3 linked regions of the Caenorhabditis elegans genome follow. The protein of the gene in region 1 interacts with the protein of each later gene in a pairwise test. Each region holds a gene or a part of one and is shown on either strand. Other genes may lie near its edges.

The links.
Region 2: the proteins of bed-2 (region 1) and F53A9.6 interact in a two-hybrid assay, tested with the Caenorhabditis elegans proteins (one large-scale study listed by BioGRID).
Region 3: the proteins of bed-2 (region 1) and utp-14 interact in a two-hybrid assay, tested with the Caenorhabditis elegans proteins (one large-scale study listed by BioGRID).

What each region holds. Positions count from the first base shown.
Region 1 is NC_003281.10:11,462,192-11,474,831, forward strand, and holds bed-2 (BED-type domain-containing protein), read right to left. Parts: upstream 8,618-12,640; 5' UTR 8,615-8,617; coding exon 8,399-8,614; intron 8,246-8,398; coding exon 8,129-8,245; intron 7,917-8,128; coding exon 7,655-7,916; intron 6,638-7,654; coding exon 6,501-6,637; intron 5,799-6,500; exon of another isoform or gene 5,616-5,798; intron 5,571-5,615; exon of another isoform or gene 5,452-5,570; intron 5,430-5,451; exon of another isoform or gene 5,258-5,429; intron 4,551-5,257; coding exon of another isoform or gene 4,026-4,550; intron 3,903-4,025; coding exon 3,618-3,902; intron 3,094-3,617; coding exon 2,606-3,093; intron 2,104-2,605; coding exon 1,980-2,103; 3' UTR 1,474-1,979; downstream 1-1,473. Other genes in the region: putative E3 ubiquitin-protein ligase plr-1, read left to right, coding at 249-330.
Region 2 is NC_003284.9:8,711,202-8,718,482, forward strand, and holds F53A9.6 (Spore coat protein), read right to left. Parts: upstream 2,604-7,281; coding exon 2,343-2,603; downstream 1-2,342. Other genes in the region: F53A9.1 (Spore coat protein), read left to right, coding at 394-627; F53A9.7 (Threonine dehydratase), read right to left, coding at 5,464-5,721.
Region 3 is NC_003279.8:5,420,786-5,433,671, forward strand, and holds utp-14 (Small-subunit processome), read right to left. Parts: upstream 7,673-12,886; 5' UTR 7,656-7,672; coding exon 7,504-7,655; intron 7,452-7,503; coding exon 7,251-7,451; intron 7,206-7,250; coding exon 7,106-7,205; intron 7,025-7,105; coding exon 6,627-7,024; intron 6,576-6,626; coding exon 6,458-6,575; intron 6,445-6,457; exon of another isoform or gene 6,413-6,444; coding exon of another isoform or gene 5,654-6,412; intron 5,609-5,653; coding exon of another isoform or gene 5,579-5,608; exon of another isoform or gene 5,488-5,578; intron 5,413-5,487; coding exon 4,893-5,412; intron 4,834-4,892; coding exon 4,577-4,833; intron 4,524-4,576; coding exon 4,377-4,523; intron 2,421-4,376; coding exon of another isoform or gene 2,001-2,420; intron 774-2,000; coding exon 723-773; 3' UTR 525-722; downstream 1-524. Other genes in the region: F27C1.4 (uncharacterized protein), read left to right, coding at 2,001-2,420; F27C1.3 (Dauer Up-Regulated), read left to right, coding at 5,579-5,608, 5,654-6,412; atp-3 (Oligomycin sensitivity conferral protein), read right to left, coding at 7,992-8,207, 8,384-8,481, 8,526-8,838, 8,962-9,021; F27C1.2 (Copper transport protein), read left to right, coding at 9,382-9,450, 9,498-9,726, 9,793-9,920, 9,976-10,207, 10,258-10,370; Cuticle collagen dpy-5, read right to left, coding at 11,412-12,266.

The sequences.
Region 1 (12,640 bases):
GGAAATTAAAATTATTCGGACATTTCGTTGACTTATAAATTTGAATGTACTACCAAAATTTTTCTCTGCCAATTTGAATTTCCTCAATTTGCCGGGAAATTCAGATTTTAATAAAATTTTTCAATTTTTTATGAAACTTTTTAAAAGTGCTCCAAATTTCTTGGAAATTTTGGAAAGTTTTAGAATTTTCTGGAAACTGGAAAATTTAATGTTTTTAATTTTCTTTTATGAGAGACCCAAATTTTCAGCTACTCGTCCGACGTTTCCTCGTCGCATGCCGAGCAATCGCGCTCCTTCGAAATCGAGCCCCGTACATCGCAACAATTATAGAAAATTAGCCAGAATACTCTATCAAAAAATATCATATCACACCTTTTCTTCTCCCAGTTTTTCTCTTTTTGTCGTGCCTTGCTCGTCATCTCTCCAACCCCGATCTCTGTATTTTTCTCCACGTATGACTGCGCCTTGTAGGCACGCAGGTAGGCATTTTTGTGCCTACGTGGATTAATTGCCTAAATTGTCTTAAAATGCTTAGTGTTTTTCAGGTGTCAAACTTTCCTCCCCATGTGTACCCAACGGGTCAATCACATTCTCTTCTTGCATATGAATACATTTTCATTTTTCTGTTGTTTTTTAGTTTTTTTTTAGACTACCATTTTTTTTTTAACTTTCTAGAAGTTTCTAGTAATAAATTTTTTAAATTATTTTGCCTCTAATAATATTATTGTGACGCTCCGCCCTAATAATGGCCATGAAAAGGGTGTGGCTTCCAAGCTCCGTCCAATTTTTTATACTATAAGGGTTTAAAAATTTAAAAATTTAATAATTTTAAAAATTCCCGCCAAAACTTTTCAATAAATTTAAATGTTGAATTCTCGCAAAATAATTGGTAAAATATATTTTGAACTCCCGCCAAAACGTTTATAGAAAATTAAATTTTAAATTCTCGCTGACGACTGTTTGAAAAATTTAAAATTAAAATTTCCGCTAAAATCATGGTGTTCTGGTCTTCCTCGTTGAATTTTTCGCGCTCCATTGACAATCGCCCGTGCAGAAATCCGTGCAGAAACTCAATAAAAAATTAAATTTGAACTTTTCGGCTAGAACGTTTTTTTTTTCGAATATATTAAAATTTGAATCACCAAAAAAAAATCCAAAATTTGCACAAAAATTTCATTTTGAATTCCCGCCAAAATTTCAATTTAAAAAATTCAAATTTGATCGATTTTTTTTTTAATTAAAAATCAGAAATCCTGTCTTTAATTCCTTTTAATTCCTGCCGAAATGAATATTGGAAAAATTAAATTTTGAATTTCCACCAAAATTATTGAACCAAAAAATTTAGAGTTCCCGCCAAAATGCATTTGAAAAACTAAAATTTGTACTCGCGCCAAATTGTTTTATTCCCGGCACCATTAAAGGAACGGAGCCTAAGTTTTCTGAAAAGTTATTTCATAAAACAACAAGAAAAATAAACAATTAAAATTTATGTTTTCAAATTTATAAAACACAGAGAGAAGGCATTTTTTGTAATAAAATAAAGGTATAAAGTTCCTAGTTAGGCGGAAGGGGCGATGGAAATGTTCATGATATTTAAGGGGGCGTGACAATATTACCGTAATCTTGATAAGGAAAATTTTTTTGAGTAGTTTTTTATTTGGGGGGAATAGGGCACAAAAGTGTGTGTCAGGTATATTAGAGTGTACACAAAAACGACCAGCGCATGAGGAAAGAGTGGGTTGGCGACGAGACGTCTCTTGGCCCAGGCGGCCGACGTCTCACGGGTTGTGGAGAGCGTCGGCTGCTGCGGGGTTTCACTACAAGTGGCGGAACCCGGGAAGCGTCGGCTGCTGAGACAAGAGACAAGAGACGTCTCATCATTTGCAAAGAGGAATATATGTATTATAGTTTAAAATTTTTAAGAAAAGGAATGGTTGTAATAAAGCGACGATATATATTAATAACAGGTAATCGATAAATTAAGAGCTATTCTTATTAAAACATTTTTGACATTTTCCACGTATCGCCCAATGGAATTGATTGAAATCCGTCTTCACCCAAAGTTCCGTGTCTTTTACGCTTCCGTTTATTCGTTCCGTAATTCTGAAAATAAGTAAATGATTATTTGGAATTTTAGGTACAATGTATAGTTGAGAGATTTCGGAGAAAATTTTTCGGAAAAAATTCGAAAATTTATTTCTTTATTTTTTCAAAAATTTTCAAATTTAAAAAAAAACTGATTTTCGGAATTTTTAAAGGAATTTCTGAAATTTAGGTAATTGACGAGTTTCTGTGACTCCGCCCAGATAGTTGGAAATTTCAAATAAGCTCCGCCCATAGTGATGGGCGTGGCTTGCAGGATCCGCGTACTTTTAACCACTTTTTGTCAGGAAAAAATAATTACTATTAGCGATTTCCTTAAAAATGTAGGGATAAAGTTTTGTGATTTTGTTGTTAAGTTTTTTAGACGATCCTACGTTATGGGCGTGACTTATAGGCTCCGCCCATTTAATGGTCGTGAAAGTTTCAAACCCCGCCCCCTTTCACAGACTCTTTTTTTTCAATTTTAGAGCCGAAAATTTCCGATGTTTTACGCTAAACTCACTTGATCTCCTTTCCAAGATCAGTCAAACATATAACTTTTCGAGAAGCGGCTCCCTGTGACTCATCGACAGTCCGATTGCTCTCAAAACACAGCTCAATCTCGGATCGTCGTTTGTGATAGGACATTGTCATTTCCAAGTCAAGTGCCATCGACATGAGCTGAGCGGCACAGTGTCCCTCGCTCAGTGAGAACGACGATGGATCCTTGTCCACTTTTGACGGTGACATTGAACCATTCGATGTGTCGTGCGCGGATGGTGGTGAGCTGGATCTTTGTTGGCTTGTGCTCGATTTTGGAGGTGCTGGTGCCGAGGATGTCGAGTTGCCGGCCGCGTTGAGCATCGCGAACATCATTGGATTGGAGTTAGAGAGACTGCTCACGAAGGCGGCGAGTTGCTCATTCTGATCAGTGGTGGAGGTGTTCGGCGATCCATATGTGTCTGGGGTTTCTGACTTGATGCGCTCATCGGAGCTTGAGGAGGATGCGGCCTGAAATTTTTTGGGTTAAGAAAATAGTCTCTAGGGTGTTCCTAATATGCACGGCCCGACAACTACCGGGTTCCGCACTGAAAGTTAAAAAGTAGGGCGGTCCAAGAAACCCGTTAGATGTCGGTCCCTGTTTTTTCGTAAATTTTTTGTAGATTTTTCGAGCGTCCGACATCTAGAGGGTTCCAAGCGCCAGCTGCTTCTGTGGCGGAACCCGGTAGATGTCGGGTGCAGCCACTTACATCAAAAAGCTTTCCTAAGAAAATCGCACTTTGTTTTTCAGCGCCCGACAACTGCCGGGTTCCGCTAACCCGGTAGGTGTCGGGCGCAGTCCCTGCCCATTTAAATAAGCGCTCAAATTCTATCATACTCTTCGAATGGGCAGTTTCCCCAAAATTTCCATGAACCCTTATCAATTTTGGGGTCCTTATCAGGTCCCCCTTCCCAAATATTTCCTGTCAATTTCTGCCCGAGCACATTGACGTGTCCCCCTCCCCGTCGCCTCTTAACACTGATAAGCCACTCACCTCCACATGATTTTCAGTGTCTTCCTCCATCTCCTCCTTCTTCACAAATCCACTGTTAATGTTGATCACCTCTGAGGATTTGGGCAACGAGTCGAGGAAGTTGAGTGAGGAACCGTTGGCAAATGAGGAGAAGTCGGCTTCTGTCAGGGATCCCGATTGCTGAAGTTGTTGCAGGAAGGCCATCGAGTCGAGCATGGGCTTTTGGTCCATTTTTACCATGGAGGGCAGCGAGGAGCTGGATCCGGCTCCGCCACGGACACGCTTCACGTACGGTTGGGTTGGAGTCTGGAATGAGATAAGAGTTAAGTCTCTTAAGTATACAATATATCAGTTAGAAATTAAATTTTTTAATATATTTTTTTATTGTTTGATACTTTTGGATAGACTGGGTACTGTAGCAAGAGGTACCTCATCAAAATCCAATCCGTTCGCGGGTCTCTTGACCTTCTTTCGGGTGGTGCCATCTCTCAAAATATCCTGATGATATGCATTCATATGACCCCACATTGATTTGGTACTACTATCATTCCGCTTGAGAACCTTCCAACAATAGATGCACTCAACATTCTGCTTCTCGTTAAGACATTTATAATGCTCCCAGATTTCTGAGGTCTTCTTGTGTGGTCGCATTCCTGCGGCGAACAGGATCTCACTGGCGCGCGCCGCTGTCAACGGGGAGAGCTCTTTTTCGGTGGTGGTGGTGGTGGTACGATCTTTTTTGAGCAAGGATGAGGTGATGGGGTTTTCGCTGGATGAGGCGGCGGCTGCGGCGGCGGCGGCAGCAGCAGATTGCTCAAGAAGAGCCATGAGCTGTGTGGTGTCGATTGTGGAGGGAGCATCGGAGCCGGAGGATCCCTCGAAGAATGCCGAGTCATCCTTGGAGTGGGACGGATCTATGACTAGCGTGGACTCTTGTTGCTTTCGACGGGCCATCTGGATTTATATGAGTGGTACTGTCGGAAGGAAGAAAGTTGAGAGCGAGGAAAAGAACGAGGGAAAAAATCGAAAAGGTATATGTTTTGGAGACAGTCAACCACAAAAGTTGTGGTTGTGTGGGGGAAAATGAAAAGAGGAGTGTGGCCGGTCGCGTCTTTCTCCCCGCCGGCGCTGGAGTAGGGAGGGCGGTGTATGTGTCTCTCTCTGTCTCGCAAAAAGCCCCGAGACGACGGGGTGAATCGATAACAGAACGGAAAGGCCCCGTGGAACTAGAGACGAGAGGAGAGGTAGTGTTGAAGAAGAAGAGACGAAGAGATGAGAGGAGCGTCAAAACGGGGCACGAGCGGTAGACACGGGGGGACCCGCCTCGTCGTACACACACCGCCCACATGTACACAAATACTCTCACATACGGCGGTTGTGGAGAGGAGGAACAATTTTTGGACGGGGGGAGAAGCACCTCAATTTTTGGGGTGGTGGACTAAAGTTTTGGGGCCCTAAAGTTTTAGGGACTAAAAAATCGGACCTCTGATGACCGAAAAAAAAAAAATTTTGGGGCTCATTTTTGGAGCAAAATTAGAAATTCCCGTCAGAAAGTGGATGACGGACGAGATATTCGAGTTTTTAGTCCAATTTGTTCAAAACTTATTGTGGATTTTTCATCTCAAAAAAGGGTCGAACTAATTTAGCGAAAAATTTAAAATTTTCAGATTTTTTCCGACCGCAGCCCAACTTGGCGACGAATTCAAAATTTTTGGCTCCCCGGACTACAAAATGAGCCCGGAAAAAAATCACAAGCCCGGGTGGGGGGCCGGGGCTAAAAATAACATCTCGTCAGATCCAAAAATCCAGTTGTTAGTTAGGGTAGACCAGGGGGGGGGGGGACGCAAAATGAGAAAATGAGAAGGCGAAGAATAAGGAGGAGATGAAGACGAAAAAAGAAGACACGACGACGATGATGATGACAGGGGTAGATGAAAAAGGACGAAGGGGGCCGCGCCCCGTCTCTTTCGGAATGGAAGAAGAAGAAGGGGGAAGGAGGTCTTCCCCCCCCCCCCCCCCTCCCCTCCAACTATCCAACAACGGGGGGAAAAGAGAGTACCGGAGGAGCGGGGCGACGGCGGGGGCTAGTGAACACGGGGCGGCAGGAGACCTAGACTGGGGCTTGGCCGGCAAAAAAACCCCCGCGGCGGGGGACCCGCCCCCCGTCTCCATCTTTGCTTCCTTTTTCTTCCCCAATGCGGTAGGTCTCGGAGAGGTCGGGAATGTGAAAAGCAAACGGGACGGGAAAGCATTGGGATAGTGTCTTCGAGAGACACAAACACACTACTGCTGCTGCCTGTGCTAATAAAGAGAGACCGCGAGCGCCCCGAGATGACGGAGAGAGAGAGAGAGAGAGAGGAAGAGATGGTGGAAGATCCTGTTGTGTGTGATGACGGTCCACTTTTCCATTTTTGGGTCGCCCTATGGACTGTCGGCCAGTCGGGGGTGGTCGGTCGGGGGGAGCGCGCGGCGCGCACTTGTCCTCTCATCACGCGGGGGATTCGAGGTCATCGAAATGTGATCGGAGTGCCCCCCCCCCGACTCTTGTGGAGAAATAGAAGGGTACTTTTACACAGGTGCCCCCCCCCTCTCATATTTTGGTGTGAGGGGGACCGTGTCAACATTTGGCCCCTTATTATGAGTGGGGGCTTTATACCCTAGTTCAGTACAAAAAAAAATCATGGTATTCCTTTAAAGCTACAGCACCCATTTCCCCGCTATGTGATCTCTGAAAATTTGGGGAGCCGTGCACCACCAGTTAAAAACTAGGCCGTTCCAAACATGACCTGCCTGCCTCGCGCCTACACTGCAGAGAATTGGCGGCAGGCAGGCAGGCTCAGTACCCAGTAATCAGTTTTTAAAACAAAATTTCCAATTCAAAAACATAAAAAACCGCCACCCCACCTTAGCCAACTTCTCGCTGAATCGATTGAAAATCCCGTCGTCCGAATGAAACTTCTTGAGATGTGTTCGCAGGTTGTTCGGGCTCCGATCGTCGCCGCTCCACGAGCAGTGTAGGCAGATGACTCCACCGGCACCGGCTGCAAAATTTTGGTTGTTTTTATATTTTTGTACCTCTAGTGTTGCTTTTAATTCGGTGATGGTATGGAAAAAATAATTATTAGAACAAATTTCCCCGAAATTTGCGCGGATATCCGAGATTCTTTTTTGTTTCTGAGAATTTCAAAATGTTTTCCTTAATTGGTTTTTCCACTACAGTGGATTCTCATAAAAATTATAACAAACATTTTAATTTTTATGGAAATTATTTTTAAAAATAAATTATGGAAAATAGGCCGTACTTGCCGAATAAAATCTGAGAATTTATTTTGTTTTTAATTAAAAATTGGTATATTCAAATTCCCGCGAAAACTTATAGCCTATTTTCAAAATTTATTTGACTTGAATAACTACTGTTTTTCAGATTTTCAGACATTTTTTCAACTTCAAAATTGGCCTAAAAATAAATGTTTACATAATTTCATCTTTTTTTCCATTTTTCAGCAGAAAAAAATGTCTGAAAATTTTGGTATTCCAGAACGCAAATGTTTTTAGAAAAATCTTTTAAAAACCAATGAATTTTGCTAGAAAACGCGAAAATGTCGAAACAATTTTTTTCTAATTTACAAACATTTACAAAAAATTATACATTTTCACAGTTATTACGGGAACTCAAAATTCTGAGAATGCGTACTGCGCAACATATTTGACGCGCAAAATATCTCGCAGCGAAAACTACAGTAATTCTTTACATGACTACTTTAGCGCTTGTGTCGAATTATGGGCTCAATTTTTGAAATGAATTCTTTTTTTTTTTAATTTTTTCGTATAATTTACTTATTTTTTGCAGATTTTTAATATTCTTAAATATTTTTTTCAAAAATTTCAAAAATTGACCCCGTAAATCGACACAAGCGCTACAGTAGTTTTCGCTACGAGATATTTTGCGCGTCAAATATGTCGCGTAATACGTATTCTAAGAATTTTCCAAATTTAGGCAGTAGAAACGCAGAGTCCAATAGAGCACACTTGCCACAAAAACCAATAAAAAAACTCACTGCTATCCTTCATATCCTTAAAGAAATCCCAAACTGGATGCGACTTCTTCCTTCCGGCATTCCTCGCCCACGCCGACGGTGATGACGTGGATCCGAAGCTGAGCTGATTCTGATTGTGTGGTGGGGATCCTTGTACAGACGCGAGAACAGGCATCAGGTCACGAATTGTGGCCTCGGAGAAGAACTGGGATTCAATGTCTTCGAATTTTGATGGGATCGGCGTGCCGAATGATTGGATCAGTGAGAGGGCGGCGGCTTGTTGCTGAAAAAATATTAAATTTTTTTTGAAGATGAGAAAAACGAAAAATAAATAAAATAGAGTACAGGGTGGGGAAAAATTCAATTTTTTTTCAAAATTTAAAATTCAATATTGAAATTTCTGTCTTCTCTCTGACTCATATTGGATAGGTGAACAGAACGAGAAAGAGAAGAATTTGCATTTTTCAAAAAAAATTTTTTCACATTTTCACCAACCTCTTCTGTTCCTCCTGTTTCCTCGGCAGCCTCATGCGATTGAGCCGCTGGCTCCGGTGACTCGGAGCTCGCCGTGTCCGAATTCGCGACATCTGTTGGTGGTACGAGTGTGGCAAACTGAAAATTATTTCTTATTTTGTCATTTTTAAAAGAAATTGCAGCTCGCATGGCGGAAAACCAGTCCGACCAATCAACGCCGTTGGCCACGCCCACTCGGACGTCGCTAATTGGTCGAAACTTTTTATTGCAGAGAAAAAACTTTTAACTCACCAATCCATCCTTGAACATGTCCATTAATCCATTTTGATCAGAAATTCCTGCAGAAACCAGCGACATTGGGTCATATGGCGGTGAATCACTTGAAGACGATGAGCTGAATGTCGTTGGAGCCTCGGAATCCGACGTCTTTTGCGACATGACGTTAAGCTGATTGGAAAGCACTGTGTGCAGAGCTTCTGTGAAGTTGCCTCCGAGAAGCGATGTCATTCTGGAAAAGGAGATTGTTAAAAATTTAGAAATAATGGAAATAAGAGAAGGTGAGTTTGGAAAACAAAAAAACAGATTAATAAAAAAGTGTTAGGAAAAGGTAGATCAAAATTGTAGGTCAAAAAAATAGTTGTATTGTTCGTAGCTCACAGAAGAAAAAAAACATATCCTACGCGCAAAAACTACAGTACCCCATGAGTATGATAGTGCACACAAGAAGACACCACATCCCACGAGCAAGTTCTACAGTATATCAAGAGAAACAAATTTCTGAAACGCACAAAAACACCCGATTTTACGCGCAAAGTCTACAGTACTGTGGGGTTCCCTATCATTGCTAGTCCACAGAATAAATGCATCGCATCCTACGCGCAAGATCTACAGTACCCCAAGAAACTCATTTTCTGAAAGAGCGGACAAAAACATTGAATCCTATGCGCAAAAACTACAGTACCCCATGGATATGACACGGCCCGAGAAGTGGTACCTGTGCGCAATTTGTCTACCGTACCCCTGGACGTTTGGGCGCGTTTTTGTCAAAAACGGCTGGTCCAGTTTTTTGTGATGCATATAAAAAATGCTCGAAATTAAATTCAAAATTTTTTGGACCAAAGCTTTTTTCCTTAAAACGCGCCCAAACCTGGCTAAACTGCAATTATCAATAGAGCGCGTTTACACTGATGTACCCTTGTACCCATGTACCCTGTACACAAGGTGCACACAAGAAGACACCACATCCTACGCGCAAAACTACCGTACCCCAAGAAATACATTTTCAGATAGTACACACACACATAGGAAAACACCACATCCTACGCGCAAGTTCTACAGTACCCTAACTTGACTCTAAACTCAAAGCACCACAAAGCCGCCTACTAAAATTGAAAAATGTTCTCTAAAAGCAAATTGAAAATACTATGGAATAAATGGTTTTGGAATGTAAAAAGACTTGTTTTTTTATTCATTCATCTCCTCACCCTCCCAAAATACAAGAATTCTGTCATCCCTCTCTGTGTGTGTAAATTAACAAATATCGGAGAGGAAGAACGAGCGCTTCTTCTTATTACATACAAAAATAAAAAGGAGATGCATACACATTTATACTACTGCTACTGTATGTGTATATCTGATGTAAATGGAATAGAAGAGGGGGGGGGGGGGGGGGAGGAATGGAAAAATTGTCAGAACTGGTAACGTCTTCTTTTTTAGAAGAAAAAGAGGAGGGGGAGAAGACATCATAAATGTTTATTGTATTCATCACAACAAATAAGACAAAAAAAACGACGTTTATTTTAAAGCAAATTAGTTAGCTGAAACCGAAACTGGGTTTCGCAGCGAAAAAAATGTTAGTAGAAAAGCCCCAAACACCATATTTGACGCGCAAGATTAGATAAGATACAATGGACAACTCGGCTCATGTGGCTCAGTCGGTAGTGGTTGGGGTTGGTGTTCGGAAGGTCGGGGGTTCGAGTCCGTGCCATGGAAAAAAAATTTGCACGTGAGATACGATATGTTGAAATCGGTTCAAAGGTAGAAAAAGAGAAATTACCATTGTGGTAATAAGGTAAACTGAAGGTATATAGGTGCGCCTACCTACTGTAGAAATACGGAGGAAATAGTAACTGAAAAAATCAAGCTACCGTATATTTTTCGACAAATGATTGGACGAAAAATTGGACGAAAAATGTGAAAAAGCTAACGGTACGCCTCCGGCGCGCGGGCGCGCACCGCCCGCTCCGACAAAACGATATAGTAAATCCAGAAGAACTAAGGGGAGGAGGTGGCTGTTATTATATTATATATATATATATATATATATATATATATATATATGCTGGGGCGGAGAGAGTGTCCTCTCAGCTTCTTCCCTCCAAAAAGCTGTATTTTTACGATCGCCTATAATTGGTTGGAAAAGTGAACGAAGTCAGGATGAACGGACGGACGGACGGACGGGGGGCATTTGGTCGGAGCGGCGATTCGAAATTAATTGCCTATTTTCTTTCAAAAAACCCATCTCGCCTAAGGAATCACTTTATCTTTTCGTGGGAGAGAGAGAGAGGCCTACATATATAGAGAGACTAGTTTTGATATATAATATTAATTCGACTAAACAGATTTGAGGATTTTATATGATTTTAGATATATAGTTGTGAGGGCTACGGTAGTTGTTGGTGGCTTAAAATGATTACACCATATTTGACGCGCAAGTTTTGATGTGGCACAGTCTACGCGCGGCTCTTGTCCCGAGTGGCTCAGTCGGTAGTGGTGGGGATTGATGTTCGGAAGGTCACGGGTTCGAGTCCACTCAATACCAATATATTTTAATAGAGAAAGAGATTGAAAAGATGATAAAATTGCTGTGAGGAACAATTCAAAAACTCAATTTTTCGGTATTTTTCAATCTCCACAAAAAATTGCATGTAAAACATGGTGCATCGTTAAAATCCACATTTTTACGTCAATGCACCATATTTGACGCGCAAATTTTCAAATGCTCGACAATAAGTCTGAGCTCCTTATGAAGCTGAGTAATTTGATCAGAAAAAAGAAGGAACGGAGAAAAATATGTTCATAAAATCCTAGGAAACAAAATAATTAAAAACAAAAACTTTGGAACTACTCCGAATGAACAGAAAATGAATAGAGAGATGAAGAAAAAAAAACTAATTTTCCCATCATTTTCTCCCCATCAGCTTCCACGGCGATGGAGGGGGGAGGAAATAGTCATCTGGACGGATAACACAACATTGATGATCGTAAAACTTTTCGTGATGATCGTTAATAAAAATGAAGAAATTTTTTGGGAAAATACGAAAATATCCTGGCGGCCGGTACGGTAGGTCAAAAACGTTCTTTTTTTTGGATTTTGTATTTTTTTTTTTTTTTTTTTTTTTGGAGTTTTAACTCACAGAGTTTGACCTATAGAGTATTCTGGTAATTTTTCAGCCAAGCCCGTTAAAAAATAGCGGAGTTCTAACTATTTTAAATTTCTAGGCCACCACCGTGGTGTGGGTGGCCGAGGGGGTGACCCGAATTGCTGGGGGAAAAAGACAAGGTTAATGAAAATATCCAATTAAAGTTTTTAGAGAAAAAAAATCTTCAGGCAGCTGTTATGTTTCCTGAGTAGCCAAAAAGCAGGAAAAAAATTGTTTGCTCTCTCTCTCAGTCTCCCGCATTTTTTGGCATATAAATATAAAATTTCACTAATCCCACTCTCTCTCTGCCCCCTTTTTCAATTTTTTTTTTTGGAATTATTGAGAGCACGCGCAAAAATTTGGAGTTCTTGGTGCAGAGAATAGTATTTTCAAAAAAAAAAGAAACCTCTCAAAAGTTTCAAGTTTCATGGGAAAGAAATGATGTTGTAGCAGAGCATAATTTTTTTTTTGTTGAAAAATTTGGAAAAAATTATGCGGAAATCTAGATAAACAAGGGTTTTGGCGGGCATAATTGGTAGGTCAACATTTTTTTTTGCTGAAATTTTTCAAGGCTTGTACTCAGAAATTGGTTCACTCAAACATTAGATTTTGTAGATGCACCATGTCTATAAATTATGGGGCATTAGAAATAGTATTCGCAAAAATGTGACGCCGAGCCCAATACACCATATTTGACGCGCAAAACGCAAAATTTTAAGGGGACAATTCACCGGTAGGCTTGGTCGCATGGCGCAGTCGGTAGTGAGTTGGACCTCTGTTCCAGAGGTCACGGGTTCGAGTCCACCAGACGCCAAACTTCTTTGAACTAGAAACTAACTAAACTTTGAAACCTAAATTTTGCGGTAAATATGTATGGTGTTCAAGAAAAAGAGGAATACTTTTTCAAAACCAAAAAAAAAAAACGAAAAATTATTCTTCCCGAGCAAGAAAGAAAACAATAAGCCACCATTATTTTCCCTCTGGACACGAAAAACTAGAAGAAAAAATACTGCCGCCCCCCGTTTCGAAAACTTTTTTCTCCATTTTTTACTAACAAAACTGCTTCTTCAGACCCCCATGGCCAAGGAGCATTGGTGGGGCGGTCGTCAAA
Region 2 (7,281 bases), on another chromosome or scaffold:
AAAATTATTCTTTCTGTTCCTAATGCATTTTAAAACTGAACTATTTCGCAATGTGTATATAACTATTTATCAAAAAACTTTGTTAGTTTGTTTTCACTTCTTTTTATTTTGATGCTTAAAAACCCCATGACTAATAATAATAGTACGTCATATTCTTTTAAAAAACACTTATCAATGTCAAAATAAAGGTGGGCTTGACTAATTTTACTTTGTTATCTTTTTTCTGACGTAATTCTTGCCGAGTTCGGTTTAAATAGCAAGCCATGCTGACATTTTAGCATCAATTCAGCATTTCTACACAGGACTTTCCAGTTTTCCCACTTCAACTTTAACTCTTCAACGTTTTCCTATTTGCATTTTGCTATAACTTCGCTAAACTTTATTCTTCAGAAAATGTCGTACTACGGAAACGGAGGATACAATCCTTATGGAGCATCTGGATATGCACCACCACCGGTCTACGGAGCTCCAGGATATATGCCACCACAAACTGTTCATGTCCATACTGATGGAGGACATCATCATGGTCACCACCATCACCACCATGGATTTCTTCATGAGTTGGGACATGCCATGACTGGGCACCATCATCATCATCACGGCCATCATCACGGACATCATTATTAAGATGACTCTTTTTCAATTTTTTATATGCCTGGTTTTCGTTTCACTAAAGCCTACTAGTGAATAAAATCATTTGCAACTGTTGTACAAAGTCATGGATTTTTGTTTGTAAAATAATAAAACTGAAGAAGTTTTCCGCTTGCTACGGTCATTCTAACGTATTTCCTCAATAAGTAGTGCATTTCTATTACGAGACAATTGGAAATGTTTGGAACCTCTATTCATTAACGAAAACGCAATTCCAAATTTTATTGAGAGTGAACAACGATAAATTTTTCCTAGAACTAAATATTCCTTGTTATTGGTGAAAACTTTTTAAGCCCCTGTTTTCAATTATCAAAAGCTGATTGAAATCATATTTTAAAAAGGGAATTACCTGATGAAAAACTTTGTGTTTTTGAAGCTTTGAAATTTGAAAATAATTATAAAAATTAGTTTACGTTATAATTAAGTGAATAACTTCTACTTTGATACTTCGATATTGGCACTCACTTCAAAATAACATTATTCTGTGTATTTCAAACTTACAGTTAGAAAAAAAAACGTAAAAACAAAAACGCATGTTTCGTTGAATTTAAATGTGTCTAAACGTTGTACACAACAGATAATGTTCAATTAATACTTCAATCGTTTCCGACTTTGAAATCATTGTTCACCCAAACACTTATCGAACAACAACAAAAAATGTACATTAGTGATCAAATCTTAGGATTTTTAAAGAAGCCGCTATAATCTTCACTTTAGTTTTTCAATTATGTTAATTCAAAATTGCACCTATTTGACATGTTTTACTTTTTCTCCTAGTTGATCCCGCATTTAAAATATTTTATGGTCTGACTGCAATACCGATTAGAAGCGGAGCCATCGTAAAACACAATAAATGTTCGGTCAAAAGAATTTGTATTTGCTCATACCGTACCTCTCAGACGTTTCATTTTTGTTCCTTAAATCATTCCTTGAGTTTTGTCCTTGAACTACGGTGAAGCTAACAAAACATAAAATCAGACTGATAAGAAGTGTCAAGTCACATAAAACGCAAAGCGTGCTTAAAAATAAATCGTAATCTTTAGTGTGCACATGACATTTTAATGTCATGTTTTGTATTCGGTCTTTTCAGAATTGCTTTAAAATTGCTAATAGCTTAGGCTTTTGGGAAATGTCAGAATTTTGAATGCTAAATCAAAAAATCAAAACAAAACGAAAAATCAAATCAAATCATGATTCGAATTTGGAACTTTGAAATTTCAAAGACTTCAAAGGAGAATAAACAGCTAGACAAAAAACTGAACTGAAAAAATCAATATATTTTTAATTTTTGAAGGATTTATTCGCTTAACAAAAGTCGCAAGAAGAAATTATTTTTTCTGAAATATTGTAAGTGAGAGAATGCTGTATGGAGCTTTGGATAAAGTTAAACTTGACGGTCCCACTATTGGCAAAACTATTTGAATTTTATGTTACACCGAATAAATTTGATGAAGTCTGAAAATTGCCGTGCTTATTTGTTTTACGCGTTTAGGAAAATTTTGTTATTTTTAAATTAAAAAATTAAAAACAAAAAGGGATAACAGTTCCAAATAGATTTTCCATGGTTTATGCTTTTTGTTAAATCTTTTTGCAAAATCTTTTTCAAATAAACTGTAAAGCATTTATTGTTAGTAGGATCATATGGGAAGGTTAACAGCTTAGTGCAAAAATTTTACAAAATTGCATCACATTTAATGATGTCCATGGTGTCCATGATGATGATGGCTTTCATAATGGCTTTCGTAGTGTCCTCCGTGATGTCCTCCATGGTGTCCTCCATGATGGTGGCTGTCATGGTGGTGATGGGTGTCCATATGTCCGTGGTGTCCTCCGTCAGTGTGGACATGAACAGTTGGTGGCATGTATCCTGGAGCTCCGTGGACTGGTGGTGGAGCATATCCTCCGTGTCCTCCGTATGGAGCGTTGTATCCTCCGTTTCCGTAGTACGACATTATTTCTAAAAATCAATAAGTTAGTAAAAAAGGATTGGTAAAATAATGTACATCAAGAAATAAGATAAAAAGAAGATTTTGAACAGTTTTGAAAAATAGGTTTATCCAAAAAAGGACCTATTTTTAGATGGAAAGCTGAAAAACTGATGGAGTATGGTCTTCGCGTTTGAGTATTTGAGCAATCTATTCAATGGAGGACACACGTCATAAGTGATAAAACGTTTAAATTATCATGCGCTGGTGGCATTTGGCCCTCCTCCATTTTTTGACGCTCGATAAGTTTATAAGAGGGTGTGATGATATTTTTGTTTGCCTTATTTGTTAGTCACCTTTCTTGTTCAAAACGACAAAGAAGCTCAAACAAACTAAAGGAGCGGAACGGGTGTTACTCATAGGCCAAATGGGAGAGAATGATCCAGAAGACCAGTTCCTCCCTCATGATGTTGAAGTATGATGAAAATGATCGTCACATTGGAAAGTTTTTTAAAACAATAATATTTTTTGTTTCATACATGTTATATCAAATGGGTTGAACATTTTGATAATAAAATAGTGATCAGATCAGATATCTTTTGAGATATTGTAAGACATGCGATGCGCATTCTACGAGCGAACCTTTGTTATTTTCCGATGTTTCCATTAATGTAATAGTCTGACGTTTTCATTTGACGTGTTCTTAAAATATCACTGAATTTCTCAAAATAAAATAAAATCACAACCTATGCGTGACACGTTGAATATTAGTAATTGCAGTAGAAAAAAAACAGAGTAAAACAGTCCTTGTCAACAATAAAACATTGAAATCAAGTTATATCTCAAGTATTTAGATCAATAAGTTTTTCAGATTTTTGGAACACTTGTGACACTCAATAAATTATCCATTGTACACGTATCCGTGGCTTTGTCATTTGCTTTTCACGTATATTCGTTGCGAGGGACTGTTTTTTGACCAAAAAGCAATATCAAAAGAGCATGATAGACTATTTGAGTCGTAATTCAACCCAATATGATCATTTTTATTTGTGTGTTTTCCGTAGACAATATAATTGACTTGTTTTCCTTAGTTACAGTTGTCAGGGTATTTATTTTGGGCTCAGTTACTTCTTTAAAACAATTATTTTTGATTGGAAATTAGTCTTTGTTCTAAAGGTAAACTGTTTGTCAATTAGTTCCTGTTAAATTCTAGTATGCATTTAATAATTCTTCAGTGCTTAATGTCAAATTGGCTGCACGGAAAGGTTAAGCGTTTCTTTCTTGATAGGTTGGGCAGATAACACATTGGAAACTGAACTTTACACTAGACAAATGTCAGTATCGAATAACTTTATTGGGTTTTGTGTTCACAAACAACTGAATGAAAAAAGAACTGAATCAATAATATATCTATTATGGAATGGGACCAAGTCTTTCTGAAAAGATTATCTATCTTCGTCACAGAAATTAAAATGAATAATTTTTTAAAAGAGTTATTTCATTTTTGTTGTAAAAACTCTTCCGAATGCATTATGTTCAACATAACTAATTGGTATATTCTGTAAAATTATTATATTTTTGTAATGAATGGACGAAGCATATGTGAACACTTATCCTTTCGGATAAGTTTCTTTCTTTTTTCTTTCTTCCTTTAATAACGGTAGGCAATAATAAAAGGATTTATTGATGTAAATAATAAAAATAAACAGAAAATATCAGTCGAAGCGCTTTAGAAGGAAATTATATCATATCTCTACATCAACATACATCCTACATCAAACATACATCTACTGAGTTCTCTTGGGTTTTTATATGGATTGGAATAATATGTAAATGAACACATAAGAGGTGATTAGCATCTAATATGTTAATCGGAATTAACAATACAGGAGAAAACTATTTGATATTATTGATATTTGATCATCGAAAGAGAGGTCTTTCGACACTCCCAAGAAAGTGAAGAAAGGAAAAGAGAAGAAAGAGCTAGACATAAAATTAGTGATAGTCTAACGAAAATTAAGATTTTGTTCCTTACTGATTGTGAACGAGAATATTTGGCCTGACAATCCAATTGAACTGCTGTTGACACCACTGCTCTAATATTTCTTTGTGTCACACTGTACTTCCGACAATGCGGATTGATTCTCTACATCAACATACATCCACATTGATTTTTTTGATTTTTTTGATTCTCCCCAGTTTTTGATTCGACAGCATATGACCAGGAGTGAATGACCAACAATATTTTCGAGCAAAGGGAAACTTCGCATTTGTCGAAATTGAGAATTAATGGAAAATGTCGGCTAATCGTTGTAACATTCGGCAACATATGATTTTTCGAACATCGAAAACTTCCATTTTTCATACTTCAAAATTTAACGCATCGTTCAACAGTTGCTATTAATGGCTAAAGATAGACGATTGGCTAAAATTAATATTTCCAGCAGATCAACGATTTATTTATTTTATTTGGTGTTACTTACCGTTTTCATTACTTCGGAAAATATATAGTTGAAATATAAGGGAACTGGGGACGAACAGAATTGGAAAATGATAGAATGATGTTTCAGGTTGATAATAATGTTCAAACCCATGTACCCAATGTGTTAATCATAGAATCCATTCAGAGTCAATACATTTGCAAAAAATTTCTTCAGAACATTTATCCTAGTCGAAGAACTGGAAACGTCTACTCTGTAATCTAATGTAAATATGTATATATCACACGTCGCTAAAAGAACTACACACCACTTTGAAGAAACATTTATATTCACAAATGTACAAAATTGAAAACATTATTTGAAAACAGTAAATCATTGTTCTTAGTAGGATCAAATGGGAAAGTTTACAGATTTTTTTTTAAATTTTTTAAAAAATTGCATCAGACTTAATGATGTCCATGGTGTCCACCATGATGATGGCTTTCGTGGTGACTCTCGTAGTGTTGTACTCCATGGTGTCCTCCATGATGTTCTCCATGGTGACTCTCTTCATGGTGATGGGTGTCAACGTGTCCGTGATGTCCTCCGTCAGTGTGAACAACAGTTGGTGGCATGTATCCTGGAGCTCCATGGACTGGTGGTGGAGCATATCCTCCGTGTCCTCCGTATGGAGCGTTGTATCCTCCGTTTCCGTGGTACGACATTATTTCTGAAAATATATTGATCAATAAATGAAATGAGTGAGATATATAATCACAAACAAATAAAGTAAAATAAAAAGGTGAATTTTCCAGAAGTGAAGCTGAACAACTGATAGAGCATGGTAACCACGTTCGAGTATTTATAGAAATTTTTTTCAATAGTACGTCACAAGAGATAAAGATGGAACTATCATGTGCTGGCGGTATTTGGCCCTCCCCCATTTTTGACGCCCGATCAGTTTGCGATAGAGTATGATGATATTTTTGTTTGCCTTCGTCACTGTCTTCGTTTAACACGACAAAGAAGTTCAAACCTACTAGGGAGCGGAACAAAGATTAGTCATAGGTCAAATGGGAGGAAATGATCCAGAAGATCAGTTCCTCCCTCATGATGTTGAAGTATGATGAAACTGATCATTGCCACATTCATTGAAGAAATTTACTGAAACAATAATATTTTTTATTGCATTTCATCGTGTGGTTAAAATATATCTAGAAATGTGATATGTACTAGCATTATTACATGTTAATTTATTTTGTATACTTGATCAATTAAAAGTGTTTTTGTTAATTCACGCTCTGAAAATAAAGCTAAATGGGAGACGATTTTTCAATCATAGAACAACGAACATATGATTACGTTAGAAGATATTGGAAATTTTAGGTTGAAAGTAAATCAGTAAAAAATATTTTTAAAAACAGAGCTCATTTATCAAATTAACTCAAGTTTTTTAATGATTTTTTTTCTAATTTAAGATTGCCTTGCTTGACATTTTTCAGAACTTCAATTTGACTTGTTATTTGTGTGGTCAATCGACCTGTGCTCTTTATTAAACTAGTTTTGCTTCTACCTGCTTCAATTATCTTGGTTTTCCTTATAAAATATGTTAATTTAGGCTTTTGCAAATCAAAATTTATTGTGTTCAAGTTTGGAAAGCAATTACCCATTAATATTCAACGTTTTTAAATTAATTCCTGTTGAACTCTATGATATTTAGTACTGAATGTCAAACGTTGGCATTAAAAAATTGAACGTTTCCTGATAGTGAAACAGATGAAAATAGAGGATTTAAACTAAAAAAATACAGGTAGTTAAAATTTTGTCGGCTGTATTGTTTTCTTTCAAGAATATAAGTAAAAAAAACAAACTCATTCATACTGTTCATACATATTTCATTGTGAAACAAATTAAGTGTTTTCTAAAAGAAAAATCTCCAATCAGAACATGAAATCTCTTAAGAACCTATGTATGTACAAGTTGTTCTGTTACGGAAAACTTTAGTTGCGAAGAACAACTTAGTTTTGATGTTTCACTTGAATGTTCAGTAAAATTCTTTGCAACGTTTTTGATAATACATAGAAGCTAACACTTGTCATACTTTTACTAGTCCCATATGCGTTGCATTTGTTAAACACTTGTTCAGCTGTTTGCAAAAATTGGAGAGCATTGACAAACCTGATTTACCTATTGCGATTATCTAAAAAATTTAGAACTTATTCAAAAATATAAACATACTAACTACATATTTACTACTAAATACATATTTGATTTTCATCGGTTGT
Region 3 (12,886 bases), on another chromosome or scaffold:
GTTAAAACTGAACATCGAAAAAAAAAACGTTTTGGGGTTTATTTTCTCAAAAATAGTGAAGGTGCAGGTTCTTGTGAGAAATTTGTCAGAAAAACTTGTTGTTGCAGTGTTTTCAGATTTTTTTAAACCAAATTTTTCGTTTATTAAAAAATTGAAGTATGGAAAATTTTTTTTTCAAAATCTTTAGTGGTTTTTAACCGACAAAAAATGTTTTTAAAAATAAAAAAAAACAATTCTAGAAAATATCTGGAAAAATGAAGAATAGTTCAATATTTAATGTTGATTTTAATGAGACATGATTAAATAGAGAAATACCCTAAAAAATTAAATTTTAAATACTTTCGAAAGCGAAAAGCAGACATTTTTTTGAGATTTTTATTTCAAAATTTCAAAACTTTGGGTTTCGTTGCCAACTTTTTCAAAATATTATTTTAACAACAAAAATTATATTTTCAAATTTCAAATAAATTGCTGGGGATATCCACCATAACGAAAAAACTGATTATAATTGAATTATTTTTTAAAAAATTTGTTTTTCATTTAAAGAATTACAGGAAATGTAAAATTGAGAAAATAATGAGAAAATGGTCTCAATTAAACTTTCACCGTAAAGAAAACATATAAAATTAACAACAACGAACATTTCAGGTGACACTTCAAAGAGAGAAAACCAACAATAAAGTTTTTTTAAAAAATCAACAAAAAATTAACAATTCTTCCAATTATTCTCCGAGTAGATGCTTCTTGTTGATTGGACGAATAGCTCTTCCAGCCTGAAAATATAAATATTATAAATAGAGAAATTTTATTCAAAATTTGTGTCTAGTAACTCATGAGGGGAAAAATGTGAAAATAGTTGGAGAAAAGAAGTAAGAGAAGGAGAAGAAGAGCATTTCACAGCTGAGTGAGGAAAAGCTGTCCCTAGAAGCAACACACACATCATCGATTTTCTTTCGAGCTTCAACAATGTTTTGAAACATTTCAAGTTCTTATCAATGTAATAGGAACGTGTGAAAACCCAGCAGAATGTACGGCGCCGAACGATGATTTTGAATTACTTTCAGTCAACAACTCGATTAGTTTTAGTGACTCGTCATGGTGTAAACATATATTTGATGTTTTTATTTCTTTCTAAATAGATTCTAACAATTTTCAATTGCAAGTTTTGTTGGTTGATTTCAAATAATTCCAATATTTATGATTACTGTAATGGTTTTTTGGAAGAGGAGACAAGATTTGCTGTAACACAGGGATTACTGTAACTAAAACGTCTAGAAAATTGCTCCTCTTCAATGATAATCTTTAGAAGTTTTCTTGCTATTTTTAAAAGTTATTCAAATTTCCTCGCTAGCTCACTGATCTTCTTCAATTAATACAGGTGTGAGCCAATCCAAATATGTATTCTCTTGTCAATCATTTTTCGTCATTCTTTCTCCGATCTATATGAACACCCACCAACCTCTACACAAAAAGATGACCTGCACCCGTTTGGGAGCATTCGGTTTCCTGCGTCTCATTCTAACCAACATACACAATCTATAATATGACTCGTTCTCTCATAAACGTGAATAGAGAGAGAGAAGCAGCGCGCGCGCACACATCTAAGGGGAGGGATTGTCCGATACGAGAAAAGAGAAAGAGACATAGGAAGAACGTAAGGACAACACAGCGTTCCTCTTCATCTTCTCGTCTTTCTTATTCTGTTACTAGTCATTAGTTGCCATTCGCATTCTGGTGGTAGAAAGAGCACATCGGAGATATATCTACTTTGTCTCTTCATTTTCTTTTTTTTCCGTAAATATTACACCTAGATTCAAAAAATCTAGGCAGATAGTACACTAGGATAAAATACATGCACTTGATTTAAATTTTTATGAAGTCAATCCTGTTGTAAATCCTACTCCGTTCGAACTTTCACTTTCATTCTTTTTTCCTTCCGTTGCCGGTCTAACTTGTCTCTTTGTATATATTATTTTTTTTCAGAAAACTACAACTAAACAATGAACTCCATCGTCAATGGACTCTACACCTTCATGTCCACAACCGTCGTCCCAGCAGTCACAGAACAGGCAGCGAACCTTGTTGGAGGAGCTTCTGCACTTGCCGAAGGAGCAACACAGGCTCTAACACAAATCAGTCAGACTGCTCTCGAGTGGGGATCTGGCTCAGAGGATGCCACGGCTTCTTCTGAAGTCTTCTCATGGGAGCAACAAGGGGCGGCGGCGGCGTCGTCTGATCTTCAAGAGGATAAAAAGGAGACGACAGAGGATGTTCACCAGGAGGCGATAGGAGCATCGTCACCAAATACATCGATCGAATGGGAAGTGATCCATGAGAATCCAGACGAGACGGGTCCAATCAGGCACAATCAATTTGAGATGGTGCAAAACAACTACGAGTGGATGAAGAATTCCAAATGATCTGGGATGAACGAAGAAATCCTATACATGTTCGGGTCTATTTTAATATTACTGTCCAATTTATGTCATGTTTTCGGTAATATTTACCGGTTTTCACAATGTTTCACAATAAACTTTCGTACGTGATCAATTCTACAATGTCCTTGGCAATAAAAACTACTTCAGACAAGAAATTTCAAAGACAACAGGGATTTGAGGTGTTAGAAATCATGGGCAATACTTAATGTAAAAAATCTATTAATAACAGAATATCGAGCTTCTTATCGGTTAATTTCGCAACCTATTACAACTCGAACAACATTCGCCAGTTTGCGTGTTCATTTTTGCATATTTTCTTGTTAGAACAGTGTTTGTTTGTTTTTATAGTCTACTTTTTTTTTAACGAAAAAGGGAAAAGCTTGTGACATCAAAATGAACTCGTCACATGTGCCGTTCGGTTCCTGTCTCCCGTGCCAGTGCATATATATGCACAGATGATAGATGTTCGCTTATATTTTGTGACATTATACACCTTTCTAAATATTTTAAAATCGAAAAGAGCTGTCTCAAATGTAAAAAGTGGTCCCTATTCCGAAATTATATCAAAATCAGTTTTGAAAAAATTTATTGTGAACAAAAGTTGCAAGAATTTTTGAATTTTTCTTTCGGCTGAAAATTCGAAATATTGTGCAATTTGATTTTAAAAAAAACCAAATAGTTGCATATGATTTTAGGGGAGCATATGCAAGGTTGCACTGAGTCTCATAGGGGTACTGTATTTTTTTATCTCTAATTCTCTAAACACTACTACTACTCGATTCTCTAATATATACAGTTTCTTCTTTCATTATTTTCGATTTACATTTTTAAATAATATGAAGATTTTAAAAATTGTATTCTTTAAAAACTTATCGAAACTTATTTCTAAACCAAATTTAAAAAGACCAACTCTCAAAAACCTATTATATTGATCCATATTCTGGGACTCTATATTGTCTCTTCTCTTCCTCTACTATGTTGGAATAATAATCAAATGGTCTCGTTAGCCGCCAGAAAGTTATTGATTACAAAGGTGTATACTGTTACATCAGATCGAGCGTTTTTGTGCACAGTCACGCCTATTTGGCAGCCTGCCATACGTTGGGTGTTCAGTCGTCCGTCGTTTTTTTTACCTAGGCTCTATGTTCTTAATTTCTTCTATGTAGTTTGATTTCCATATTACCTCGATTTCGTAACTATCCCTTTTTTGGCACAATAGATTATGAAATTGCGTGTTTGTTTCCTCAGCCCTTCTATTCATATTTTCCTTATCTAAAATGACTAAAACTTATTTCATTTTCAGAACCACAAGTTCTCAAAATGTCTTACTTCTCCTATGCAACCTCCATCTGGAATTCCGTATCAGAAATGGTCACATCTGCAGCTGAAACCGTCGGAACACTTGTCAACGCGGTTACTGAAGACACTACTCCAGTCGAACTCGTAGAGGTTCCACAACAAGAAGAACCAGCTGTACCAGAGAAGCTAGAGACTTTAGAGCCTGCAGAGGTGGAAGCATCTTCCAAGGAACAACTGGACGAGAAGGAAGACTACGATATGCTCGATGATCATGCTTTGTATGTCATAATGTACGAGTACGCTCGAGGAATCACCACGGAAGAAAACGTTTTCGTTGATTTGGAGGAATCGTTGCCATGTCATTGACTTCGCAAGATCTTCGTCTAGTTCGGATGATCAAAACTAATTATTTTTAAATTATTCATGTTTTCCCTACTTATAACCACTTCATCTGTTGTTTTATCAACTTTTTTTTTGTTTGAAACAATTCAGGTCCAACCCATCACACACTCCCAGTCCAATGCCTTTCTTTCCTTGTTTTCACTCGTTTTTTTCCACTGTTCACGGTTCTCTTCTCCTTCTCTTTGTTTCAACATAATTTTCATGTTCAATAAAACTGTAAAATATAATAAAGCTTACCTCAACAACAACCGCAGGTTTGCACAACTCATCTCGCATCTTCTCCATATTCCATTCAAGACCCAACGGTTGTTTTAGCACAGCCTCATAGTCTTCAACTCGGGAGTAGGGGAATGGTAGAGAACGTGGCTGGATCTTTCCGATACCCTGAAAGCTCATTTTTGCAATTAAAAAATCTAGGAGATATATCAGGTGCTTACATCCTTAGCCGTCATATTTTCAGCAATAATTACTCCGTTTCTCTCTCCGTCCCTTCTTCTCTTCTCTTTTGCTTTAATCACAAAGTTTTGGCGTCGCTTCTTCTCAGTCATTCCTGGTCCAACCCATGAGCCCCATCCGGCCAAATTGAGATCTACATCTTTAACTTTTTCCTTTTCTTTCACTCCTTCTTTCATATCTTCAAAATCTCCAATGACGTCATCATCCTTGAAAGCTTCATTGATAACTTGAGCGGCTTCTGCAGGAAAAAATCGTTGGAATATAGTTAATAAAAAGAAAAAAAAAGATTAAGCTTACCTTCATCAAACTGATCCATTTTCTCAACAAAATCCGACGAAACTTGTGTCAAGTCGTTTGTGTTGAGCTCTAGAAATTTGCTCGGATCGATTTCAATTTCCTTTTGTCGTTTTTCAGCGGCATGCACTCCAGCTGAATCCACTGCCTTTTCCACTTTTTCATCAAAAGTTTCTGCACGTTTAGCCTCCATCTTCGGATCATAATTCTTATCAACATATGATACTTTTCCAATTGTTCCTTTTCTCGCTGACTCCTTCGCTTTTAGTAGCTTCTTTTTCTTCTGCTTTGCCTTTTTCGCATCTTCTTTCTCTTGCCAAGTGTCATCGACGTCGAATAGAGGATTTTCACGTGATGCACCAGTATTCGCTGAAATACTTCGAGTTATAGCAGCTTCTTGTCGTTTCTTGGCTCGCATCTGAGCAAGTGTCACTTTTTGAGCATCGGAGTCTTCGAGGAAAGTATCAACTAGAGCCGTGCCAACTTGTTTTCTGGATTCTTTCTCCGCTTCTTGGGCGGCATCCTGAAATTTTTTAAAATTAATTTTAAATATAAAATTTTAAAAAATAGAATGTTACTACGTGAAGAATAAATCATCATTTTTCAAAATCCTCTACTTGATAACTCTTTTATTTTTATTTCTTCGATCTCAAACTACAGTTGTGGATATATCGATAACTATATCACAAATGATGAGCATGGAGTTATTTGGTTTACAGGTATTGTTTGAAAACTAAAAAATCCAAAAAATATAAAAATTTCAGCCAATTTTTATGATACTTCTGCAACTTGCTCTGTGTTGGACAGTTCCGGCAGCTATTCTGGTGAACTGCGGGAAGAAGTCGAAAGGAAAGAAAAAATACTCAGATGAAACAGGAACAACTGGAGGAACTACTGGAGGTGATGATGATGACGATGATGAGGATGATGAAAAGCGTCGTAAAAAGAAGAAAAACGATGCGATTGCGGCAAAAAAGAAAAAAGCAGCAGCCAAGGAAAAGGGAAAGATTCCTGCCGGAGCTCCAAAGCCTCCGAAAAATCGTGCTGCAATTGCTGACACCCATGATCCCAACTACCAGACATTGGCCGGATTGAACGATAACGTTTTTGAGCAAAAACAAGGCGGTGGTGGTGGTGGAGCTGCTCCAAAAGCTCCGGACGGAAAACCAGGAATGGCCGGAACTCATGATCCTAACTATCAAACTCTTGCCGGCTTGAATGATAATGTTTTCGATAAGAAAGGTGGTGGTGGAGCAGGACCACAGGCTCCAGCAGCAGGAGGTAAACCTGGAATGGCTGCAACACACGATCCAAACTATCAGACTCTTGCTGGTTTGAATAACAACGTGTTCGATCAAAAAGGTGGTGTTGGTGGAGGTGGAGGAGGAGGAAATGGTGCACCAGCTCCACCAAAAGCTCCTGCTCAACATGGTGCTAAGGCTGCAACTCATGACCCGAACTACCAAACCCTGGCTGGTCTCAATCAAGATGTTTTCGGTGCAGATAAGAAGAAAGCTTATTGAGAACTTGAATCCGTCTAATGAATTAGTAGTTTATGTCTCACTTACCTTGATTAACTCATGAATACTCTTCTTTTTATTTTGTGGATCTTCCGTTGAAGTTGGAGCTTCACCATCAGAATCTTCAGCGGTAGTTGCGACTTTTGCTTTTAATTCTCTTCCCATTCTGAAAAAATATTCCCATTTTAAAATTTTTGTTCCAAAATTAATATCTAACCTCAAATGCTCATCGAGCAATTTTTTGACCTCTGGATTTCGGCTAGCATGTTTTTCCAGCATCTGTTTGAATTTCTGATTCTGTCCGCGATGCTTCAAACTTCCTCTTTCCATGATTCGCTGTAAATCCATTTCGGCAAGTTTTTCATGAGCAGCGGATGGATCACGAGCAACCAAATCATCAAACTCTTTTAAAAGTTGTTTTCGTTTTTCTCTTTTTAGAATTCGATGATATCCTTTCGATTTGATTTTCTTCATATATCGATTCTTGGCCTCTTGGATTCCAACAATAGCACGCATTCGTTGCATTTGTGAAAGACGATCTTTTGCCATTTTAATATCTGTAGCCTTCATCAATTCCATCTCCTTTTCGGTCAGTACGGGCTCGGTTTTCTCGTCCTGAACGAAAATAATTATTAGGAGCAATTTTTCCACTTTTATTAAATTTTAGAACAGTTTAATTTGGAAGCAACAACTTACACCCCACATAATTCCATCCGGTTTTGTGAGAGGGAAGATCAATTGATCACTGACGCGGTTGCTTTGAACGAGCTCTGTCCAATTTTGTGTCACTTCTTTTCTGTAAAAATATCTTATTAATTAAATCACAAATCAATAATCTCACTTCAAATCAGTGAACGCAATTTTTCCTTCAATCTCCTTTCGAGCTTCAACATCTTTTAGAGGAATTAATGTTTTGCTTTTCAGCTTCTTTTTCGTAGTTGTTTCATCTGCTGTTGCTTCCGATTTTCGCTTCTTTCCTGTTTTTTCTGTCGACTCTAGGCCACCAATTCCGAGACTTTGCTTGGCTTTGTTGGTTGAAGGTCTGTAAAATTGCAAAAATCCTAAATTTAAAAAAAAATTTGTTTTTCAAATACCTTGAAACTGTAAGATGAGATAGAAGAGAAGTTGCGTCGGTTTTTGTTTTTGATGCTTTCTTCAGACGATTTTTCTTTACAGTTCCAGGTGTGTGAATTGATTGCAGAAGCTTCTGATGAGCAACGTCATCAAGATCCGAGTCATCACTCATTTCTGTTTCTCAAATTTCTATAATTTTATTCTGTTTTCTTTCAAAACATTATTAAGAAGTAAATGGTAACCGACAGAACGAGGTCAATATAATTGAAATTTTTCACAGATCTATTTATTTATTTGTTGAGAGTACAATAAAGAAACTTAAAATTCTGGAACAAACAATTACACTGCTGATGTTATGACCCACTAGAAAATGAAGACAATACATAAAACCGATTACTAAACAACTCTTTAAAACACCATCTTCAATGATTGGGTATGATGAGGCAGGGAACTGGTTTGAAGCACAGATTGAAAATCGGGATGAGGAACTAAATTTTTTGGGAAAAATTTAGATGGCGGTGGCAAGGGCATCCTTGTATTTCTTGACACGGGAAGCGATCGACAGATCGACGTACTTGTCTCCGATAGTGACAACAAGTCCTCCAAGAATCGATGGCTTGACGGCATAAGTCACCGTGAGCTTTTGTCCAGACTTTCCGATCTTGCTAAGGGCATCAGACAATGCCTTCTGGTTTGATGAGCTCAATTCTTCGGCGGAGGTGACCTGAAAATGATTTTTAGTTTTTAAAACGGTACGTACGAGCATCTTCAGGATTAAAATTTAGACTTGAAAATTTCCATTTCTACGTATTGAAAACATTCGCTATTCATATTTTATAATTTTACGAAAACAAATTTCAAAAGAAACATTGTTTTTCTTGGCAGTTATAATAAAAGTACCTGAACGAAAAGTTCTCCACGGTGAGCGCGCATGATGGATTCGAATGAAGAAACAACTGACTCGAGCTTGTTCAGACGTCCGTTCTCAGCCAAAAGTCCTGAAAGTTACAATTAAATTTGTAATTACACGTTAACAAAATACCAAGGAAGTTTCCAGTCTCTTTGGTAAGCCCCAATTTAGTTGAGATAGCCTCGATGGCGGTCTTCTTCTTGTTGGCCTTGAGAGTTGGGTCGAGGACGAACTCTTGGAACTTCTTGTTGTCCTTGTACACGGAGCGAACATTGTTCAGATCTGTGGAAATCTGGTCGAGCTTGTTCTGTTTGTGTCCGGCTGAGTAAAGAGCGGCGGCGTAACGTCCCTCGACTCCATGAACCTGAATCGGGGTCTTCACCAGCTGAGCCTTAGCGAGAGCAGCGCTCGTGGAGAATCCGCGTTTCATGAGTTGCGCCATTACCTGCAAAATTAAGAAATTAGGCAAAATTTAAATTTAATAAATGTATGCAAGCAAACGAATTAATTAAAACAACTTTTTAAATTTAATTAAGAAAAAAATAATAAAGAGTGGATTTTTACATACTTTTTCGTGAAGAATAGTCAAATATAGGTAAAGAGGCTTGCTTGGGATAAAAATTCGCATAAAATAGTACAAAAACTTAACTGAAATTCGATAAAAAAGAACTGAAAGCTAATTTCAAGAGAAAAAGGGCGGTCGTTGGCTGAGTATCACTCTCTTAACCATAAGCCAAGGTACGCAGCCAAATCACCGGCTGTCAGTTCAGTAGAGCGCATTTGGTGCTGCAATTTTTAGACAATTTTTTTTGTGGAGTTTTCTTGTTTGCAAACTTTCCATCTCGATAAAATGCATGTTCATGACAGGTTGCGTATAAAAGGTCGCAAAATGTTGAAGCTGCAGTTGAAATTGTTATCTTGTATAACTTCTAGTCATATTAAACGCAATTTTTATTGATTTTCATGTTACGTCATATATTTTCAGATCATGGGTACACAATTGGCCATCCTAGGATGGTTGGCTGTGGCTTTGGTGGTTGCTGCTGCAGAAAATAAGGTTTAATTTTAATAGTTGCTTCAAAAATCTAACATTTAGCATTTCAGAGTGCTTACGCACAAGCTGCAGACAACTTTCTCGATGAGCTCGCTGGAAAAGAAGTAGAAGCGGTTCCTGTGCCCGATGAAAAAGATCAAAATGAACATCATGAACATTCGTCTCATGGATCACACGCAGGTCATGGTGGACACGAGGGACATATGATGAAAATGTGGTTCCATGGAGGATTTGAAGAAGTTATTCTATTCGATTTTTGGAGGACGGATTCACTTTTCGGTAAGATTTTCATTATTCAATTCAAGTTTATTTCTTAACTGTTAGTTAATTTTAACAACTCTTCAGGTATGCTTTTATCGTGTGCTGCTATTTTCATTATGGGCGCCACATATGAAGGTGTCAAGTGGTTCCGTGTATTTCTGCAAATGACGCAAACACAAGCTCAGGTTCTTGCCAACAAATCATGCGTGGAGGTAAGTAATTTTATATTTCTCTATGTTTCATTAAAAAATATCTTATCCGACCTAGTTTGCACTTCAGACAACGCGGTCTTCTGGAGGCACTTGCCATCAATCGGTTACCCACTCACAGAGCAACAAGCCTCAATCTGAACCGTTCCTGATATCGGCTTCGGTAGCGAGGACCCCTGCAACTTCGCCATTCTCTCCTCAACGGCTCATTCAGATGCTCTTGTACATTTTTCAATTGGTGCTCGCCTATTGGCTCATGCTCATTGTGATGACTTACAACACTTATCTAAGTAAGTACAAATTTCTAGTTTTAAATCAATAATTCTGTGTATTTTTTCAGCTGCTGCGGTGGTATTAGGAGCAGGATTTGGACATTGGCTGTTTGCAGTTCTCCAACTCCGAAATTGTGATGGAGAAGTGACGGATTCGTTCCAAACCGATGCGTGTCATTAATAATTGCGATCTCCAATCTCAATCCTCAAACAAATCACCAAACATCATCAATTCATCTTTCCTCTTTATTAGTTGATTTATCTTTTAAAATGTATTTCCTCACTAATCGACCTTAGTTTCTCTCCTGCGGGTCGATGAGCACCTTAGGATCCCGCCTCTTTTTATCACCAGAATCTCAGTCAGAAGAAGTGTCTAATTCAGAGCAAGCTGTCAATTTTCTGATTTTATTTATTTATTATTGAATTTCTATTTGCCCTATTGAAGTTGTAAATGATAATGAACATTTGTCCTGTTATTGTTCTATCATAAGATTGAATCTTGTAGCTGATAAGATACTGCACCTCGTGAGAAGTTATGCAAATAGTCAATCGGAAGTATTAAATAACAACGTGATAAGCCTTACAAAAGATCATCTAAATAGTTTGAAGAAGCGGAATCAGGTCTTGTCGCGATTGAAAAGCTATATTTGATATTGAAGTTTTGTTATAAAATTTCGAATTTCGAAAAATAAATCGTAATCATTTTTGAAATCTCAAAACGTGCAATTTTCATAAATTGTTTTCTTCTTACTTCGAATTTCCATTTATTTTCACTTAGTATTAGAAAACAATTTCGAAAAATTATTATAGGGACGCAGAAAAAACCAATGTACACACTCCGCCTCCGAAGCATGGGTCTCGTTAGGTATTAGGCGCGCGCCCTATAGGGGCCCTATATATATATATAGGCGGCGAAACTGTAAACTCAAACGTTTTCTATTTTTTTCGCCGATTTTCAAACATTTTTTCTTTTAAAAGTAAATTTTTTCAGTTGTTTTTGCATCAATTCATGAAGCATAAAAATAATAGAACATGTTCTCCTAATACCTAAAGAGACCTAATCTTCAGGGGCGGAGCGTTAGAAATACATTAAAGGCGCGAACTCCCTTACGTCTTTCAGTCGCGTCGAGACCTGCCATCGTATTTTCAAAAAGAATTATTCAAAAAATGTGATAAACTTCAATTGAATACATAAATATTTATTTTTGAATACGAAAACAGTTTAGACGCGTCTGCGCTTTCTCTCTGGGCATGGGCAGTATTCGGCATCGGCTCCAACGGCTCCTTGTGGTCCAGCTTGTCCTGGAGTTCCGTCGTTTCCGTTGAATCCGTCCTTTCCTGGCTGTCCAGTTGGTCCCTGGGCTCCAGTTTGTCCTTCCTCTCCTGGATTTCCGTTGTTTCCTGGCTCTCCACGTGGTCCTGGCATTCCTGGGCGTCCAGCGACTCCTGGTTGTCCCTTTCCGGTAAGTCCATCGCGTCCTGGTGGTCCAGCAAGTCCTGGTTGTCCGTCTTGTCCTGGAGTTCCTTGATCTCCAATATCTCCAACACGTCCTGGCTCTCCGTCCTTTCCTGGGGTTCCACGCTTTCCAGCGTCTCCTGGAAGTCCTTGGAATCCTTCTTGTCCTGGAAGTCCATCTTGTCCTGGTGGTCCAGCTGGGCACTTGATGCACTCCTTAGGGAAGTCATTTGGAATTGGAATGTTAAGTCCTGGAAGTCCAGTTGGTCCGTTCTTTCCGTCTGGTCCAGTGCCTCCTGGCTCTCCTGGGGCTCCTGGGTTTCCTGGAGCTCCGGCTGGGCATCCTTGAGATGGAAGTCCGCAAGAGCATTGGCTGTTGGAACGCTTGTGACGTCCGAAGATTCCACGAACGTATTGCTCAGCAGACTCTCCGGCTCCGTGACGAACGTCGAGAAGGGTTCCCCAAGTGTCATCAGAGATATCTCTGAATCCTCCGAGCTCTCCCATCACATCATCATACATGTCATTGATGTCATTTGTGATGACAAGTGCAGCCCAAAGGCAAGCAACGATAGCAGAGATTCCGCATGCAGCGCCGAATCCGACGACGGCCTTTACCATTTTCTGAAAACACAGAGACTTTGAGAAAAGTTTTAAAGATAAAGTTAGCAAGTTCAAAAGAAAAAGGAAAAGCTTCTAATTTGAAAAGTATAGTGTTCCACATTCATCTCGTCTCCTTTTATATGCCTCCTCTGATCAGGTAAATCGAAAGAACAGATAAGAGATGAAACGGAGAAAACTTGCCAAAGAACTGGATAAAATTGCCTCGCCCCATGAGGACACACCTTCATTCTATTCTCAAGGATAGGGATTAAAAACCATTTAAGAATATATTATAACTTTAACTTATATTATAAACAGAACGTGATTAATCCAGAAAATGTAAGCTTAAATGAAAAACACAAAGATTTATTGTAATTTATATGACAAGATCAATCTCTGTGCTTTTTTCGAAGATCAGTCAGCTTCTTGTTGAGATTCAGAAGGTCACTGAAATTTTCAATAATTTTTCTCTGCTTCTTGATAACTGATCTTTGCAAGTGAACTCTCTGATGAAGACGATTCACCGGCACATGAGCACTTATTGTGGAAAAAGATGAAGTTGTGGAATAAGTGGGCAAAGATGAAGGAGATGAAGTTGTGCCATCCTTTCTGAAAGAATGATTTTACCTAGATAGTTA